Drosophila melanogaster: one gene and its partner. The protein of the gene in region 1 interacts with the protein of each later gene in a pairwise test. Each region holds a gene or a part of one and is shown on either strand. Other genes may lie near its edges.

Region 1 (9,980 bases):
ATAAGGTATTAATTATAATCCTTATGTTTTATTAAAAAAAATACAAGTAAGCGTTAAAAATCTATTTGAATGTATGGTATATTTGAACGATATTTACTCAAACTCCGGGTCACCCTGTGTTGCAACTACTTGAAATACTAGGAAAAAGTCAGTATTTTCATTATATGTTTAAAGACCGTTTCCCGCGAAGGTCACTCTGTTCTTCTTTCGTCGGCAACGTTGCGCAGAGCACGGCTCCAGATTTGTTAAACGCGAATTTACCCCACAAAAACGCATTTAAAATGGCATTCGGTGATGTGACCACCCCGCAGGGACTGAAGGAGTTGAACGCCTTCCTGGCCGACAACAGCTACATCAGCGGGTAAGCACGCGTCATTAAATGTGAGGTTATGTACGACCTCACCACGTCGGCAGATGTATTGATCGAATAATTTTCTACCCATTACTATACTCCCATTAGATATACTCCCAGCAAGGCCGATCTGTCCGTGTTCGATGCTCTGGGCAAGGCCCCCTCTGCCGACAATGTGAACGTGGCCCGCTGGTACCGCCACATCGCCTCCTTTGAGGCCGCTGAGCGTGCCGCTTGGTCGGGTACTCCTCTGCCCCAGTTGGCCGGTGGAAAGCCCACAGTGGCTGCTGCTGCCAAGCCCGCCGCCGACGATGACGACGATGTGGATCTATTCGGATCCGACGACGAGGAGGACGAGGAGGCCGAGCGCATCAAGCAGGAGCGAGTTGCCGCTTACGCCGCCAAGAAGTCTAAGAAACCCGCCCTCATTGCCAAGTCGTCGGTGCTCCTCGATGTCAAGCCCTGGGATGACGAGACCGACATGAAGGAGATGGAGAACAATGTCCGCACCATCGAAATGGACGGTCTGCTGTGGGGCGCCTCCAAACTGGTCCCAGTCGGCTATGGCATCAACAAGTTGCAGATCATGTGCGTCATCGAGGACGACAAGGTGTCCATCGATTTGCTGCAGGAGAAGATCGAGGAGTTCGAGGACTTTGTTCAGTCTGTCGACATTGCTGCCTTCAACAAGATCTAAACATCTGAGATTCTTATATTAACAATAAACTTGAGCAAAGCGAACTAAGCAAATATAGTTGTCTTCATATTTAAATAAAATATTTCACATGAAAGCTGCAATAAGCCAATCATAATTCAGATTGTAAAAACACATCAGTTTTATTGGAATAATGATTGAAATTTTGTAATTTTCACCAAAAAGTATACTTTTATAATCGGTAAAAATCTCTAATCTCTTTAGTTGGCTTGCTGGCTCTCTCAAGTTCTCAGCTTAAGTCTTCCGTTTTGAAGCTTTCGGCGAGCTTTTGTCAACAAAAAAGCGAAGCTCGTAGCACTTTCAGCTCAGTTGATCGGGCAGCTCGATAGAGGTCGGTTGTTTACAGATAGTTGTGATACTGTTCAGTGACTTTTCAAATTGCATTTGCAAACAAATATTTTTCGGACACAAGTACTGCTTATAATGGCTGCCAACAAATTGTGCTGCACTTTGGCTATTGGCGCTCTTTTGTGTCTGGGATTCGCAGCCCTCATTCAAGCTCAGGGTGAGTTAAATACATCGAAAACTATATATTTACATTATATAGGCGAGAACATTTCCGTTCTTGTTATTGTTCGCGAGACGTATTTGTTACGCATTTGCTGAGATTTGCTTTTAACACGAAATATACAAATACCTGATCGTCTGCATTCATTAACATTAATTAGCAATTGTATAGATATTTGAGTCTTTTGTTCTGCGCCAAGACATGTTTCGTTCTTGAGCGGATTTCCCAGATATATTTATCCATCCATCGTGTTTGTCGCCATTTGCATACGACAAGTATCTGGAGGTTGACAAACGTCCATTTAAACTCGGGGATTTCTGATCGGTTTCAGATTCCATAATCGACCATCCATCATCTAAAACACGGGCCGTTGACATCGTTAGTTTTCAATAACGCATCATTGCCATTGAAATTACTTCCGATTAGTATACATCTATTACATTGGCGGAAATTAATTGGTATTAAGTTTGAAAATCATCTATTAATCGTTGGCAGTAATTTGAAGTGAACTCTTTGCTTCTCTGTTTAATAAATTAATTGTCTAAATGGGTAATTAGCAGAAATCAATCAGTCGTTATTTTTGCATTATTCGCGAAAAGGATGTAGTTTTACTGGAGATTTCCCCGAATCCGGAACAGTATTTTGCGGTGCACATCGGTACTCCATTGTTAGACCTCAAAAAATCCCACTTTCGTGACAATTTGCTGCGTGTGGGTTATCTCTGGGTCAGGAAAACCCCGTGAAAAGGTGTTTATATAAACTAAAATATGCACTGATATGATATGTTTTAGAAAGGTGGAAATATATAAAAGGTCTTTAATCTTGACCCAATTTTTATGCCTTTGAAGATTACTTTGCATAGGTCACTGAACTCAGAAACCTCAGAGTTTTGCTCGTGTGTGTGGGTGAGCCAGAAGGCTAGATGACATGCTGTGCTTCACGCTTCTTTCGATCTTTTCGCAAAATTGGCAAAATGCCGATACTCGTTAAAAATACAAAATTTAATTACAAGAACAAGGTCTTGATAACGCCGATTAATTGACTCATCCTCGCCTACGCGCTGCCAGATTTTGTTCTACGGAGATGCTTCAATGTTTCCATTGAAAGTTGCAAAACTAGTTCGATACAAAATGGGATGGGAACGTGAGGCCGATGGATTTCAGGTTCATGGGCGTGCAAGCAACGGAATTGCTTTTCGTTTCTTGGATATATTTTATAATTTTATTGAATTTTTGAAATTTATGAACCCGCTCGCACCGGGGAAACACAGATAACACACTAGGATTAGTTTTATTGTAGTACCTGTTGTTATTTTACACGGAAATCTCTTCGGTTGGAATTTATAATAATGAACGTAAGAAATTTTAAAAGAATTTTTAACAAGTTCAAGATAAGACACCTAAACCAAATTGGTCAACTGGATTTTTTGTTTAATTAGTTTCCTACTACTTTTTTCTGTGAGCTGCTAAAATTTCAAAGTCTTCAACTTGTTATAACTCTTAAAAATTCAAAACATTACCAAATGCTCTGAATAAAGCGATGACATGATCTGGGCAAATCTGCACTGCTAACGCTCTTTTGAGGCTAATCTGGAAAATAAAATAAAAATAAAAATGAACTGAACTGATTTGATTTGATTTGAATGATCTTTAAACCCGAAACAGATAAGCCGGTGACTGATGTGTGCCTGGGATGCATCTGCGAGGCCATCAGTGGATGCAACCAGACACGTTACTGCGGCGGCGGAGTCTGCGGCCTGTTTCGCATCACCTGGGCATATTGGGCCGACGGCGGCAAGCTGACCTTGGGCAACGAGAGTCCCCAGTCGGAGGATGGTGAGTGTCCCATCCATTACCTATGCAATAAACCTTATCATACATCTGATGCACATTAATCTCGCTGCAGCGTATGCCAATTGCGTGAACGATCCCTACTGCGCGGCCAACACGATCCAGAATTACATGACCAAGTTCGGCCAGGACTGCAATGGAGACAACGCCATCGATTGCTACGACTTTGCTGCCATCCACAAGCTGGGCGGCTATGGATGCAAGGGCGAGCTGAGCTACCAGTACCAGACGCAGCTGACCAACTGCCTTAATTCGTTCCAGCAGATCGACGTGCGCTCTAGCATATAAACACATTAACTTGCTAAATTTATATTGTAATTAAATTTAAATAATGTAATAATTAATTATTTATGGCAATGCATTTGAATTCGATTCAGAATAAATGACAATACAAGCAAATATTTTTAACTTTTCAGTGCTTCACACTTGTTTCATAAATTTAGTAAATTATTTCGAATGGACAAAAAAAATAATTATTGTAATGAATTTTACTTATTTGTTAGGGTTATTCGTGTAAAAAACATTTTACATTCCTTGCTTACATACATATTCTCTACATCTTGGCTTGAAATACAGTAAAATTAAACTAGTCTTTAACACACGCTTTAAAATATTTAGGAGTCGCAGTGTAGCATACTTTTTGTTGTAAGTTTCAACTGGGAGTCAGTGAGTGGGGGTATGTAGTAGAACTATTCTTAACACTTTGTGTGGATGCGCCCTATAAACCGGTATTACCCGCTAGATTGGCGCATTTACCGGGTACTGAGTACTCAGTTCATGGGAATCGCTAGAACCATTCGCAGTTTCAGGGGCAGAGGAATTGGATGTTATTACTTTAACCAGCCGGAAAATGCGAGTTTTCCTGCTATATTCCATATATTTGCTGCTGGTGCTGTCGCCTTCATTGGTTCAAGGCCAAGGTACGTTTTTTCCGCCAAAAATATATGTGCTATATGTACAATAAATTGCGTAAACAGGTCATGTGCTGGATAAGCCGGTAACGGAGCTGTGTCTCACCTGCATTTGTGAGGCCATTAGTGGTTGCAATGCCACGGCGATTTGCACCAGTGCGGAAAAGGGAGCATGCGGCATATTCCGCATCACCTGGGGATACTGGGTGGATGCTGGCAAACTGACGGTAAATGGAGAGCATCCCGATTCGGAAAAGGCTTTCATCAACTGCGCCAAGGATCCGCACTGTGCCGCCGATTTGGTGCAAAACTATATGAAGAAGTTCAATCAGGATTGCAATGATGATGGTGAGATGGATTGCCACGATTATGCTCGAATCCATAAACTGGGGGCTTATGGCTGCCAAGCGGACATGCCCTACAATTTCCAGAGTGTGTTCGAGGAGTGCATCGAGAGGTACGAGGATGAGGGATTTGAGTAAATAAAAAATAAACATTATATATATATGTTAATAAACTTAATATTTTTATTTACCCGGGAATCACCGCTGATTGGAAACCAGATCGGTGCATTTCCTATAACTGAAATTAGTCACCTTCGATGGCGCTCATTTTCGATAATAAAAACCAGTAGTCACTGCTGAAATCGTTTCAGTGGCTGAACAATCGCGAAAGGCATCGAATCGGAAGTGAATACACATCTCGAGCTATGCATAGTGCACATATATTATTTTTCGTACTCGGGCTCACATTCGTTGGCATTTGGGTTCAAGCCGAGGTCCAAAAACCCATCACGGAACAATGCCTGATCTGTATGTGTGAGGCTTTGAGTGGCTGCAACGCGACGGCTGTGTGCGTGAATGGGGCATGTGGCATTTTCAGGATCACTTGGGATCAGTGGGTGGACTCAGGCAGATTGACCATACCTGGCGACTCGCCATTGACGGATAGTTGTAAGAACTGCGTTTATCTGTCAATTTAGTGCATTTACTTACTTACCTTTGAATTTACAATATACTCAGCTTTTACCAACTGCGCCAATGATCCGTATTGTGCGGCCGATACTTTGCAGAGTTATATGGTGAAGTACGGACAGGATTGCAACGATGATCAGAAGGAGGACTGTTACGATTATGGTGCCATTCACTATATGGGTCCCTTCAACTGCAAGGCGGATATGCCCTACACCTACGAGAGCATTTTCAAACGATGTTTGAGGAACGCGATGCGGAATGACAAGCGTCAGAATTCCAGCTAGGCCTAATGCAACTTTTTCTAGTATTTAGCAACTAACTTATGAGGAAGAGTCCGTTTAATTTATGTGCAAATAACTCATAGCTAATATAGGCGTTAATTTCGATTAATAAACTAGTGGCTTGGAGTCAACTGAGATCAGTTGTTTGGTCAACACGGCACTTGCAGGTCGGGTTCTCGATTCTCGATCGGATTCAAAGCTCAGTTATGCTACGATTGCTAGTTTGTTTGTGGCTACTGGTGTACAGTGGTTCCAGCTATGAGGGTAAGTGCTACCCAGCTACACAAGCCATCAATTCCGTAGCGATAGTACCTTATAACCACTGTGTTACGTAGTTGACGTGGTGCTCTATAATTATGGTAATCCATCTGGGTTCGCTGTAAAATAAAGCCAGTTTATAGGAATAGCTTTATACTATAAAGCCGGCTGTAACATCCGCCCATTTCCACTTTTCTCGTACACTGAATATAATTTATTCATTAGCTCCATAATATAATGCTTTTTTGATATTTAAAAAGTCTTCTTAAGAAAAATCACATTTATACAAAAATTATCTTCTTTCTTTTTTTTTTTGATGAAATAAGTATGTATTGATTAGTATTTCTTTCTGTGTATTTAGTGCAAAACAAACCCGTCACGGAAGATTGCCTAGACTGTCTATGCGAAACAATGAGTGGCTGCAATGCATCCGCAATTTGCGTAAATGGGGCCTGCGGTATATTCCGAATCACTTGGGGCTACTGGGTGGAGGCGGGCAAACTAACTTTGCCCACAGATACAGCTCTCTCCGAAGACGGTATGTTCAGGATATCCAAGTAATAGATCCATTTCAATTCCCCAGTCCTTTTCTCAGCTTTTACGAACTGCGTTAATCAGCCCCACTGTGCAGCGAACACGGTGCAGAATTATATGTTCAAACATGGCCAGGATTGCAATGGAGACGAGCACATCGATTGCCTGGATTTCGGAGCACTCCACAAACTGGGCAATCTGAAGTGCCAGGAAGAGTTGCCCTACATCTTTGCCAAAGTCTTCAATCGATGTCTGAAATCCAAGGAGCGGATGGCAGAGGAAAAGATCATCAAGGAGCAGGAAACGGTTTCAACATAATTGATTCTTTATTGGGTTTCATCGTTTCCCACTTTTCGGGGATATATTTGTCTGTTTTTAAAACAATCCTGGTAACACATATACACGTACATACATCGAAACATTGCTTATGTTTGCATTTGAACAGTTTCCAATATAGGTATGGATTCTATAGATTTAGTTACAGATACAGATATATATATATAATATATATAGAGGGGTATATGAAAACTACTTTAATATGCTCTCGCTTTTTGTAAACATGTTAACATACTGGTAGTACATAGTTATTAATTTATTCAGATTCTGGCTTACGTTTGCTAAAGCTTGGCTCTAACATTGGTTTGCCATTCAGTGGTCATGGTTCTATATCTCGAGATGAGGTTCTCTCTATTAAGGGGTATTCTGTTTGGTAGTCTAGTATATGGAAACTTGAAAGTAAAAAGGACTGTTACGGATATTTTCATCAGAATCTGTTCAAATTGAAATTGTTTCAACAACCTTTTTAATTGGTAATGATTCATGTTGAGACTGAGACTGAGGCAATGTCGAACGAAAGGCAGCAATATCATCCTATTCTTATCATATCTCTAGACGGTGAAGAGTTATGAAAGTGGGCAGTGAACGTAATGAAAACTAAGTGGAAGTTTCTGCTTACGACTATAAACGAAATGAAAGCAAAATATTAGTGAAAAAATCAGTGCTTGCCAAAGGTTTATCATTTAAATACAAATGTTTGGCATAGTTTTTCTTTTGAATTAAAAGCATTAAATGCCAAAAACGCCCACAAAAGAAGTAAATATGCAGACACAAGTACAATGAAGGTGATTTAAATTTCACGATTCTACAGTGAATTCTTTTTTTTAAGAAACTATTTTTAAATATTTGGCTTCTCTATTTTCTATTTCGAGTAAAAAATCATGGAAATGATTGAGGCCTAACTGACAAATTACGTTCATAAAATTACAATCAAGCTCGATTCATATGGGTAGGGGGTGTTGAGGTGTGTGAGTTGGAGGTCTGATTCCATCCGATCCTATCTGGCTTGATATAGTACGGTTACACGGGTACTTGGTGATGATCTTACATGGCTAGAATTGCAACTGGAAATATGCGTTTTTGCTGGCTAATTGGGTGCCCTTCCCTCACTTCTTGCTGTTCCCATCGTTGGCCAACAGCAGCTCCTTGGCCTCCTTCTTGCCCCGCTTCTTCTCCTCCTTGGCGTGCAGCTTGGCCAGACGCTCCTCCTCCTTGGCCAGTCGCTTTTCCTCCTGCAAAATTGAGAGTGAATAAACTTGGCTTGCATTTGCATGCAGTGGAAATCATAAACAAGAAAATCGGAATTGTTAGCGCTTTATGAGCCAGCCGTGCTCATAAGTTTGGAAATTTATGCTTTGCCGGCACAAAAGGTTCAGCATTTCCCCGCCAATTTCCCTAAGCCCTTTCGCCCGCGATTAATGAAAAACTTTTCCAAAACAGTTGGTAAAAAGAAAAAAGGGGAACGAGGCCAATTACAAACAATGCAAATATGCACAGGCTGGTTCAGAAACTCTTAAGGGTGGGGGAAAACAATGCATCCTGCTAACAAAAAAGGAACGCGAGTACAACGGATTCTCTGCAATTTCACCCACCTTTCTGGCTTCCTTCTCAGCCTTCAGCTTGAGCTTTTCCTCCTTTTTCTTGCGCTCAACAGATTCGTTCTTCTTATTGTCAGCCTTCTCTCCTGGAATTCAAAGTTTTTGGGTGATATGATAAGCGAGTAAGCGATTTTGCTATAAAAACCACTTTTTAAAACTCACTCTGATTACTGGCGGCGGAGAAAAGCGGAAAACTGCGACTGGAAGAGCTTGACGAGGGCTTGGGATTACTAGCCGATCCAGCTCCAGTTGATCCTGAATTGGCAGCAGAACATCCAGCTGATGCCCTCGAGCAGCCTGCTCCTTGTGGAGTCGACTTGGAGGCAGTACCAGTAGCTTTCCCTTGCGGAACAGAAGCTGGCTGCTTCTTATCCTTGGGCATCACGTAAGCGTTTTTCGGCAGCGAGTTCTTCGAGGTCAGTGGGCAGATCTTTGCCCCGCCCGCCTTCAAAGGGGGCGGGGCCAGTGCGGAGCAGCTCAGCTGGATGTTCATCGGACTGGGGCGACGTGGCGGAGGCGACGATCCGGATTCACGCAGCAACGGAGCCAGTTCATGGGCACTGGACTTTGTATAAGTGGAGTAACTGCAAGGAGACATCGATAACCATTTATATCATATATAAATACATATTTGATCCTGGTATTCCACTCACCGAAATCTGGGATTGCTGACGTGCACGGGCGAAGGATGCGGCACTTTGGCCGGACTGCGGAACTCCTTGATCGGCGGCAGGCGGTTCTGGATGTCCATCAGTCGGTTCTTTACATGCCTTCGGCCAGGATACGTATGCGTAGGCGTCATCATTCCACTTGGTACACTACCGTTGCCGTTGCCCACTCCTCCTCCCCCACTTCCGCTCGACGATGAACCGGAAATGGGCGTGGATGAGCTATTGGTGAGCGTGTGAAGCGGTTTTCTTGGCACGGCACCGGAGCAACCAATGGGACACCCACCATGATGCGAATGTGAAGTTCCATTTTCCCGCGGTGAAAGGGAACTGCCCGATGATCCCGATGGAGTGGGTGAGGCCAGACTATGACTGTGATGGTGGGTGGTGGGCGATGGCGGTGCCAGGTGATTGGAGCTGGAAGCCACGGCCGGCGAGGCCGGTGAGCAGGGACCGTTGCTCGATATGGAAGACGTCTTGGAGTAGTGTGAATAACCGGAGGCCGATGAAGCCGCCGATCCCGTCGAGCTCATCGAGTACAGGCTGTCCGACTGGGAGACTCGAGCATGGGCTGATCCTCGGGCGGCGTAATGATGCGGGTGATGCCGTCCCACCGCCGACTTGTGCAGCGTGGGCTGGTGGAACGAATGGTGGCCGCTGTGCGCATCGTTCATCGAGTAGGAGCTCGCCGAGGGTACCACACCGCCGGCGGCCACTCCGGCGGAGGCCCAACTCTTGGCGCCCATTGAGTAGCTGCTGGCCGACTCCTGGATTCGCCAAGTGCCCGAGGACGAGGTCAGACGATTGACCCGCGCTCGACAAATGACGCAGCGAAGGGGCAACAGTCGTTGGGCCACCGCACTCTGAATGGTCTTCACAAAGCAGCGGCGGCAGACGACGCGGTGGCCACATGGCGATGTCTGCATGGTGGCCCGGGCATTGATGCAGATCACACATTCGTCCTCCTGGGAGGTTGGAGGATCCGGCTCGCTTTC
Region 2 (10,634 bases), on another chromosome or scaffold:
AGGCCAGATTATCCAGAACCAAATTCATGGGCGGAACAATGAGCTCCTCCATGAATTGGGAAACTTCCGTGGGGTTGTCATTGATCATGATATCGAGATACTCCACGATCAGATCGTTGATGAACTTCGTGTACAGACGACTGTTCATAAAGCCCGTGGTCTGGGACTTAGCCTCCTCCAATTCCCAGTTAACCTTCCAGCTCTTGGCGTACACACCACTGGTGGCCGACTTTGGGCGAATAACGAAACTGCCGTAAGCTCGGAAATTGATCAACTCCAGACTGAGGGCACCGTCACCCCACAGGGAGAAATCGGCACCAAATAGACGAGCCAGGAGATTTAGTTTATAGTTTGTGCTCTTCAGGGAAATCTTGGGGAAGTTCATGTCGAACTTAATGGTATGCAAAATGTTGTTCCACTCCAGCTTGGAGAACTCGTACCCATCCAATCCCTCGATAATCAGATCGGTGAAGTTTCCATTGCAACTGCGGTTCAGTATGGTTCCATTAAGAATAGCTCCTATTTGTGAAGTTCTTGTTTATATTCACCCAAAGTTCTCAGTTCTGATGCCAATTTCCTTGTAGGCCATCTGAGCCGGGGCCAAAATGGGAACCCCTCTGGCCGGGTAGCCACATCGCATCTGCAAACGCAGGAACTCCGTCAGTTCGCGCAGCTCATCATCGAAGAGCTTGGCGGAGCCCAAGGAGCAGCACAGAAGGGCCACAAAAATTACACAAGAAGTTCTCATCGCGAGTGCCAAATAGGAACTGCTAACTGTTTAAACAGTACAAGTAGTTTTTTCCCTTGCCTAATCAACAAATAACGATTAGCCACTTAAGTAGCGAAAATAGATAAGATTGGATTAGGCAGGTGCAAAAGAGATAATCGATGTGTTCCCACATTCGTTTCGAGTCAGAAATGTATCAAAACATTATAATAAATATAAGTTATTCTGTTTTTAAGTCCAACCGCAATTATAATAGCTATAAAAGGTTTCTTTGTTTAGGCAAACCACATTCAGTGAATTCAGAGCATATAATTATAGATTGATTGTGGATATTGGAGCAGGAAATGAGAGTCCAATGGGATTCCACAAATAAAAACCCCAAAAGTAGACCAATAATTGAATATATCGACAAGTGTTTATTCACGGCTGTCCCATAGTTTAGGCCCAGGGATCGGCGGAGGGATCGCAATCAACGACAATCGGATCGTCCTCGCTCTCACCGTCGCTGCTGGCCAGGATCAGGTCCACGACGGTCCAGAAGTCCTTGCCCTTCAGCATCTTGTTCACTCGCGGCACGATGGCGTTCTCAATGGTCTCGGAAATGGCGTCCTGGTTGCCATTGATTCCCTTTACCACGATGTTCTCCAGCTGGCTGTTGATGGCGCGGTTGATCTTGCCGTTGCCCATGAATCCAGTGATGTCCGAAGTCACAGACTCCAACGAGATGGTGGTCTTCAGCGAGGTGATCTTGGCGGAACCCCACAGCATGGGAAGCTTGTACTTCAGAGTGCCAGCAATACGCAGGTTGACCAAATCGAACAACAGCTCTCCGGATCCCTCGTACTCCACGGACAGACCCAACTGGCGCAGGGCATCGATCAGCGTATCAGTGTCGTACTTCTGGGCGGTGGTATCGATGTTCTTGAACAGAAAATCGAAGGTAATCTTGCTGGTGATCACGTTCAGCTTGAACTTCTGGATATTGAAGTCATTCAGACCGGCGATCTTCAGGCGGAACACATGGTTCAAGGTCTCGAAAATGCCCTTTTTGTAGTCTAGGTCGAATTCGTTGATGCGAAGAGGAGCCAGCACGGGAATGCCATACTGGGGCCATCCGCACTCCATCTGCTTCTGGAGCTTGCGGATGAAGCGACGCGCCTGCCAGGACACAATAAACTGGGGGGCAACTAAAGAATGGGTTTCGATTTTGAGTTGGTAATATTTAAATTTAAATCGATAATATTTCAGAAAGCCACTAATTGCCACGAATTACGTTTGTTATTAGAATCAATTAAATACCAGGATTCATTGAAAAGTTTCACCGAGTCTCACCTTCAACTCCCTCCTGGGGCTCCGCGACCAGATCGATGTCACCATTCTGATCCGCCAGCTCCAACAGACGCTGCTCCACCTCGTTGGGCAGAGTGCCGGCGGCACAAACGGCCACCAGGCAGGCTAAGACTACCAGGAAACGCATGCTTGATTGTGACTTTTAGCAACTGAACTTGCTACTGAAATGGCCAACCCCCGGCCAGAGTCTTATATACCAAAATCCCCAGCAGACGATAACGCGTAGAAGGTGATATTGAGCGAAGATAGCAGACGGAATGGGGACTAATTAAAACGTAGATCGTGGACTCGTTTGAATTGCTTTTTATTGGCTGGTGTTGCCTTAGTCTAGCTTCCTGGACTCAATGGCCAACCAGGGAGCGGGAGTGGGATTGCAACTGCCAGTGGTGGCGGACAGCAAGCTAAAGAGATACCAGATCTTGTGACCCGTGAGATGCGCATTGGCCAGCGGCACAAAGATCTCCTCGATCTTGGCGCTGATCTGTTCCTGGTTGCCATTGATGAAGGCCGGGATCTCCTTGTCGAGCATGTCGTTGATGAACTCATTGATCCTTCCATTTCCCATTACACCGCCAATGTTCGAGGATACACCGCCCAAGCCGACGGCGCAACTGAACTTGTAGATCTTGATGGAGCCAAAGATGAAGGGCATCTTGTACTTGAACTCGCCCTGAATCGACAGATTCTGCAGGCTGAAGGACAATGGGCCCGAGCTCTCGTAGCGCACCGACAATCCCAGTTCCTTCAGCAGATTCACAAAGGTGTTGGTGTCCAAATAGTGGGCACTGGCCTTCAGCTCTGGGAAGTTGAAGTGGAACTTGACCTTCTTGCTAAAGGTGTAGCTGACCTTCATCTTCTTGATCTCCATGCCTTCCAGGCCATCGAAACGGAAGCGCAGGAACTGCAGCAGGGTACTAAGGATGACTATTAGATCCACTGATACAATCACTCCAATTAATTATAACTCACTCGACAACCGACTCGGCCAAGTGGATGCGGAGATCAGCATTGGTGTAGGGATCCAGTGGTGGAATTCCATATTGGGGCCAACCACAAGGCATTTGGTTCAGCAGTCCATTGATGGCCTTCTTCACCGATCCGTTCAAGATCAGACCCTGAGTATCGGGCTTGGCGGCTGTTTGCGGGGAATCACATTGCAATTAGTCCTCTGTTTGGTCAGGTGATGGATGGCTTAAGACACTTACGATTACGCGCCACCAGCTGGTCCCATTGCTCCTCGGTGAGCAGCTCCACATCGTAGGCCGCTACGCAGGCCAAAAGGGTCACAAAAACACAAACGATAGCTTTCATTGTATAGCCAGCCACCTGATTGATTGTCCCAGCCGGTCAGTGGCTTTTATAGCAAAGCTAGCGGATTCGAAGGGCAAGCCGAGGGGAAGGGAAGGGATCACTTAACCAGGTTAACAAATACAAATGCTAATCGCTACTTTTGATTAGCGGAGCTGCCATGAACATAACGCCCAATTCACGATAGGCTTCCGATTTAAAAACGAAGGAATCAAATCATTCGGCAAGTGGTTTGTAAAAAAAGGGAGCACTTGTTTCGCCTGAGTGGCTTGTTTTGGCCTAATCTCGACGTCCAATTGGCCAATCGATTGTCAATATCACTTAAAGAATATATATTGCCTATCATTGCGATCTGGATTATACACAAATAACTGGTCTACCGGGGGTAAAACTGCGTCAACCACTCCATGCAGGTGTCGGCGGATTACACTGGATGACCGATTCGTATCACTCAGTGGGGGTAAATTCTTTTGTCTTCAGAGCTTCAGTGGCTTTTTTGTACTCTTTAGAACCTTAAAGGCGTACTAAAAAGTGATTTATTGCTATTCTGATTACGATTTTACAAGGGGAACTAACACAATGGGTAAACTACTTATTGATAAACATATTGGGCTAGGACTGGCGTTAACTTTAAAGCCAATAATTCGTTAAGAGAGTATTTGACTAGCCATCAGGTGTTAATCGTCTGGATTTTTTTATTAATAGATCCATTCGTAAGACCTTTAAATACCCCAGTCGAGATATCATTCATAAATCACTCAATGCACTTAAAAATCACTTGATTGTTAATCAATAAACAAACTTTTCGCAGACTTTAGATCCGCAGAAGTGCATGGAGAATTTTAATTCCAAACAGACTTCTTTAGAAGATTATAATCATGCTAAATTTTTGGTAGTCGTTTTCAATTTTGATAATTACTTTGTTAAAATGTTTCCTATTGGCTTCAACACCTGCATGACCTTAAAATATCGATTGATGGAAAGTTTTCGTAAGACCATACATTTAATGTATGAGTACTCTGTAATCGCGAAACTAATGATTTTAAAATCTTGTTTCCAAGTCAACCACTAATCCTACACCTTCTTTTTTAGAAAACGTTTTAGAAAAACACACTTTTTTGAAGCCTTCTAACCATAACAAAGCGGGGACACACCCCAAATAGACTTTGATCTTGACACTCCTCCACAAGAAGGCAATGTTTGTACTTTAGTGAAAACTGTCTTTTTAAATCTGATCATTTCCTTAGGATAAGTACCCCCATGTATGTATATATAACTAATCATTAAAATTAAAAAATTTGCCAACCGGGGAATCGTTGGCCGAGATAAGACAGCAATAGGCCATCGATTGAACGCCCGGTGGCTAATCAAATCGTTCACGAGTACGAAGCCACCTTATCACAACCCCACCTGAAATGTTGATCGTCTATAAAAAGCGACTCGTGCGACCGGACGACTGAGTAGTATAAATACCGTAGGTACTACGATCAGTCGGTAGGACTCTCAGTCAAAGCAATAATGAAAATCTTCGTGGCTATTTTGGCTTTTGTGGCCGTTGCCAGTGCGGCTTCCATGGGCCAGCCCATTGGTGAGTATTCCAGATGATTTCCAATGCCCAAATATTTAGCATACCTATCCATTTGATTCTCTAGAAACCCAGTCGATCTCCAGCACGATTGTGGATGTGATCGAGGGCATTAAGGAGCAGATGCCCTGTGGCTTTACCAGTGTCGGCCTGCCGCCATTGGCTCCTCTTAGAATTGACCATCAGGATATCAACATCGATAGCAGCGTGCTGAAGGCTCAGGGAACCATTGATCACTTCCGCCTGAACGGTCTGAATGATTTTGATATCGATGAGATGAAGGTCAACGCCATCACCAGCAAGGTGACCTACAAGTTCACTTTCCGCGACGTGAACGTGGATACCCAATACGATTTGAGTGTGCTGCTAAAGAAGTACGGATTTACCATCAATCTGATCGGTGCCGGACATGCCAAATTCGCCATCAAGGATATGGTTATCTGGGGCACTATGAAGTACTCACTCGGCGTGATCAGCGGCAACCTGAAGCTGAAGTCATTGGAGGTCCGCACCCACTTGGGTGAGGTTGATTCCGAGATCGAGGGCATCCTGGGCGATGGCAGCATCAACGAGAAGATGAATGAGTACTTGGCCGAGGCCGTGGAGCTGGCCATCAATGAGAACGAAGATCTGATTGCCGATACCATCGAGAGTATTGCCCTGCCCGCCGTCAACAGCGTTCTGGACGACATCAGCATCGCCGAGATCATCTCCGGTGCCGGTGGTGATGGTGAGGGTGGAGAGAAGGAGGCCTGCATTCCCCCCGAGTTCGAGTGGTAAACAAATCATCGGTCATTAAACAACCGTTTATGAATCAAGAATTCGTCACCTGGCTCTTTTCTTGCGGGACTGGCTTTCGGTGGGTTTTTTTTTGTTCATTGCATTGGGAAATTTAAACGATGTTTTAAAAAGCTTAATATTTACAACATCCATCAGCTTTCATTATATTTCAAAGACGGTCTAATCTCAAGTTGTGTCCTATCTGTCATAAAACACTTTGCCAAATTATTTGCCGATTAATAAAGCTACTTCACATGCACAGAAAAAAAATGTAGATTCATACAAAATAATATAATAAGATATAGCGATTTTCAGAATATGATTTTTATATCAAAGGGAATATCTTAGAGCACTGTACTCAATACCTCACCATTTTGTGTCAATAAACAATAATTTTGATATGAGAGGAATGCCCCTAATATTTCTTTAAACCTTTATAAACACTAATTATTTAAGAATAAATAACAAATTGTTCCATATTTCAACCATGTTTTTGTAAATATAAGCCAAGAAAGCATTCACTGTTTATTCACTGTACATAGAAGTTTTCCTAATATTAAAATTTTTTAATCTAGACACTGATATTTTTGTGCTGTGTACCGATAGATTATCTCAATGGTCATTTTCCTATATAAGAGGAATGGATTTGGCAAGCTTCGACTAGTGGATTTTGATTGCCAAAAGGGTTAACTAGTGTTCTGTGCTAAGAATGAAGTCTGCATTCCTGATTGCGCTTATCGTGGCCCTGGCCAGCTGTCAAGGTGCCGAAGTTGCCGAACCTTTGTCAGGTGAGAATATGAAGAAAATTTTAGGGAAAATTTAATAATCATAGTTAATTTTCAGCCCAAGGACGCTCTTTCTCCAGCGTAATTGTGGACGGATTGGAGGCATTCAGGGTCGTCCTGCAAAATGGTAGCCCGAGATTTGGAATCCCCGTTATGGCACCCATGAAGGCGGCGCAGAGGTCGTTCGAAATCAACTCGGGAGAATTCAGTGGCACCTTTGGAGTCGAGAACTTTGAACTTCAGGGGCTCGATCAGTACGAGATTATCACCATGAACATGGACGTGATCAGGAGTCGCTTGACCTTCAACATCAACTTTGCCAGCCTTAACTTCACCACCGATTACGAGATGGACATGGGCAGTGGCTATCGCATCAAGCGCAACGGTGGCGCCTTCTTTGCTCTCGAGGATCTGAACATTCAGGGTAGAATTAGCTACTCCCTGGGCGTGTTCACTTCCCAGCTTCGTGTGAAGGATGTCCTGATTTACCCCTCCGTCGGCAATGTCAACTCACAGATCGAGAACCTGTCCAAGTACCGAATCTTCAATCGCAAACTGAACGAGATCATCGAGGAGTTCGTAACCCTGACGATTAATGAAAACACCGACTTTGTTGCCGCCTGGGTCAGCGAACAGGCTACTCCCATTTGCAATGATCTGATCGGAGACCGAACTCTGAGTGATATCATTGCGATTATTACGGGAGGAAACTAATTAGGCCAAATAAACTCTACATATTATCCAAAACAAGTGCATAATCCAATTTTCGGTGGTCAAAAACGTGCGGGCCATAAACCATGTGCGGATTGGTTTATTTCACTGCCCACCAGGGCAGGGAAAACACGCAATTTGCTTAATCTAATCTCACAGATTAGACTTATAATAGCATTTCCTTTGCTAAAAATGATTAGGCCCTCTAGCTCTGTAGTTTTTTATAACTCTACTTTTACTCTAATTTATCAACATATTTCAATTGGTTCAATGCTTGTGTACAATTAGTATTGTTTTCAAAACAAAGGAAATTTTACTCAAGAAGTTCTGTTTAGTATAAATTCTTGATTTGGAGTTACAAGTTATATTGTCAAGAAGATCATCTTCAGGAGTCTTTTTGAAGGGAATTATAATGCTTGAAGTGAACTTTACAAGTTACATTTTATCAGATTGGCCCAACTTTTTACCGTTTCGTGATACGCCACATTTAATAAAAATTCCTTTTTTTAGATCAATCCAAATATAGCTCAATTGTGTTGCCTACTTTTTTGCGGTAGACCTTTATATTTGCCATCGGCTTATTTTTGGCTGAGCTATTTGAGCAATGAGGTGTTTAAATTCCACTGCATACTTTCTAGTAGCGTGTAAGGTAAAAAAATGTATAACTTAAAAATGTCAAATGTAAAGTGAGTGCGTAGAGTTTGTAAAAAATAAGTGTCCAATCTTATTTTAGCGTTTTAGCATTGCTAGCATAATTATTAAAAATATCAGTAGTTTGCAGAATACATTACAAGTAGTTAAGAACTACTATACCTGCGCCAATACATAAAAGTATGTATGTCAAATAATTTGAATAGTTATGAATGAACAGTAAAATAGGTAATAAACAACTTGTCTGTACAAAGCATACAAATATAGAAAAACTTTCGGCGTCTGTAAAAATAGGTATTTAATAAAATTAAATAATATATGAGAACATATTGCAACGGAGTTCCCAAATTAATTGTTTTGTGTACGCAAACCTATGTATGTTTCTTCTTACCATACCCTTGTCAAGGTTATTCCTATGTTTGTTGATAACAAAAAACATGCGAGCGCCATACCACCCAGACAGCTAGACAGACCTTGACAGCGAATAAAGATAGATCAATGGCTAATATGCTCTCCGAATCTAAAAACGTGTTTCACTAACTTTAGCTGAAACGCAATTCAGATGACATCGAATTCCTAAATTTGTTGGGAAAAGCTTATTATCATCTGCGAAATCGGGAAAGAGCAAAACAAAATTCCTAGCAGGAGAAACCCTTGGGAGCTTATCAGGCACCCGAGAGATTCGAACATCCCACTGCTAATCAAAACATGCCTGCTGCTCCCACCAATTAGTTTGAAAACACCATTCATTGAGTGAGGAGGCTTTCGATTTTTTATCAATAAGACGCGATGCTGAAATATATTCCTTTACTTTTAGTAGCCCAGGTTAGGAATGCGTTAAGTTCTCCAAATTTATTAAAATACTAAAAAAAAAAACTGTCTTTAATTGAACAGCTATTAATAGTGGCTGCCAAGCCCACAAATCCACAACTCCTAAACTCCGATGATCCAGTGCAAAGGGAGTTGGAGAGACAGGCCAAGGAGGAGACAGTCCACCTGCTGAACTCGTTGTTCCGATCACAAATCGCCTATTTCTCCGAGGTGAAGGCCGCTCTGAATCCCCAGACCAAGCGATTCCAAGATATCAGTCTTTATATAACGCGCCTGAGCCAAGCCATTGATGAGCAGGAACTGGACCGAAAGGATGAGCTGTGGCAGAATATCTTCGAAGAGGTAATAGATACCTACATTGGTATTCATCAAATAAACAAACTGTTAATATCCCTTTTGCAGTTCAAGGACTCTCCACTGCTGATTAATCGGCAATCCGAGACAGGACTCACCGACTTGCAATATAAGACACTCCTGACCGGCCAGAAGCTGCAGAATATATCCACCAAGTTCGTGAGCGATGTGGCCGATTACTTCTGGGAAATGGCCAAGATTAGTGGCAAAGTCGTTGGCAATGGGATAGCGAGCCAGAACGAATAGTAAATCTCAATAAACTATAAATGTATCGAACGAACGGTATGTCTTATTTCGCAAATAATTATTCCAGCAACGTAGTCACAAATTTATTGACAAACCCACACCAAGGCGCAATCGACATACTTAAATTTCCAAATTTGAATTCACTGTTGACACATTTTATGGGTATTGTATTGGAAAATAGCGGAAATATCACGCTTTAACGGTTTATCACAAATTTCAATGGATAAATTTGAGGTGTGAATCCGATCTTACATAAGTGAACTTAAGATTTTAAGTATCTTTTCCCTTTTATTTGGTAAGAGTAGCTCTTGATCTTGAATGGTTTTTTTTACAGTTTTTTCAACCCACTGTATCGAATGCGAGACGCCTGCTGTGGAATGATAAGTTCATATACACCCATCACGAATTCGTGAATCATTCGATGCGACAGCCAAATTTGGACATATTATGAGTTAATTTAAAAAACGCCAAAGCTCTTCCGACTGAGCGCACTTTATTTGTTGCACTTTCCGCTGTCAATCGAGAACGAAAATAAGTTAGCGCAATTGCTATTGCAAGAACAAGGTGCAATTGTGCAATTGCAATTGAAATAGCAAAACGCTAGCAAAGTGCGAGGTATTTTTAATGCAATTTGCTTTAAAAATAAACGCGTACTTCGCGGGTAAACGGGGGCGACCAAAGGGGGAGTGGCAATGTGGCAGGGGCAGACGACGGACACGCATGCCTTCCACTCTGCCGGTTGCACATGTGTCGCTGATATTTGAAAATCCGCTCTTGTACACTGGGAAAAACGGGCACTACATATGATATGTAAAATTTATTGAACTTTAAAAAAGTGTAATTCTTACAAATCTGCAGTTAAAAACTATATGAACTTAAACTATTTATTTAAAAGATTTTTTACAAGTTTGCAAGACGATACAGTGTTTAAAAGAAATACCTATATACGCATTGTAGTTTCCAATAATAAGCGTTTTTTCTGACTGTATAAACAACATACAATTTGATTTCTGACTATGTAATATTAGCTCGGCAAGGTAATTTTCTCCAGTGTATAGCCGGCATCTTTGTGTGAGCTTTCACATGTATTTGTGGCCCCAATGGCATCTCCATGTCATGCTCTCGAGCGTATCGACGCAAACAATTTCCACTTCCGAATGACACAGACATAAGCCATATCAAACGGCGTTTCGAAAAACACGAAAAAAAATGCGATATGCGGATGACAGTGGCAAACAGTTTGCTCAAAAGTCCGCCAGTCAATATTATTCGACAATTAAAAGAAAACAAGAAAACAATTCGTTGC

What was found.
Region 2: the proteins of CG6429 (region 1) and CG8997 interact in a two-hybrid assay, tested with the Drosophila melanogaster proteins (one large-scale study listed by BioGRID).

Annotation. Positions count from the first base shown.
Region 1 is NT_033778.4:16,868,031-16,878,010, forward strand, and holds CG6429 (uncharacterized protein), read left to right. Parts: upstream 1-4,984; 5' UTR 4,985-5,045; coding exon 5,046-5,289; intron 5,290-5,358; coding exon 5,359-5,594; 3' UTR 5,595-5,725; downstream 5,726-9,980. Other genes in the region: eEF1beta (eukaryotic translation elongation factor 1 beta), read left to right, coding at 282-361, 461-1,049; CG6426 (uncharacterized protein), read left to right, coding at 1,491-1,572, 3,240-3,410, 3,481-3,713; CG6421 (uncharacterized protein), read left to right, coding at 4,276-4,345, 4,403-4,818; CG6435 (uncharacterized protein), read left to right, coding at 5,798-5,855, 6,211-6,387, 6,445-6,701; CG8910 (uncharacterized protein), read right to left, coding at 7,826-7,951, 8,312-8,403, 8,480-8,901, 8,971-9,980.
Region 2 is NT_033779.5:13,839,532-13,850,165, reverse strand, and holds CG8997 (uncharacterized protein), read left to right. Parts: upstream 1-4,840; 5' UTR 4,841-4,903; coding exon 4,904-4,973; intron 4,974-5,037; coding exon 5,038-5,750; 3' UTR 5,751-6,251; downstream 6,252-10,634. Other genes in the region: CG7968 (uncharacterized protein), read right to left, coding at 1-485, 549-748; CG7953 (uncharacterized protein), read right to left, coding at 1,166-1,914, 2,060-2,204; CG7916 (uncharacterized protein), read right to left, coding at 2,400-2,991, 3,047-3,212, 3,283-3,388; CG33306 (uncharacterized protein), read left to right, coding at 6,460-6,538, 6,594-7,249; CG33307 (uncharacterized protein), read left to right, coding at 8,687-8,722, 8,792-9,070, 9,131-9,328.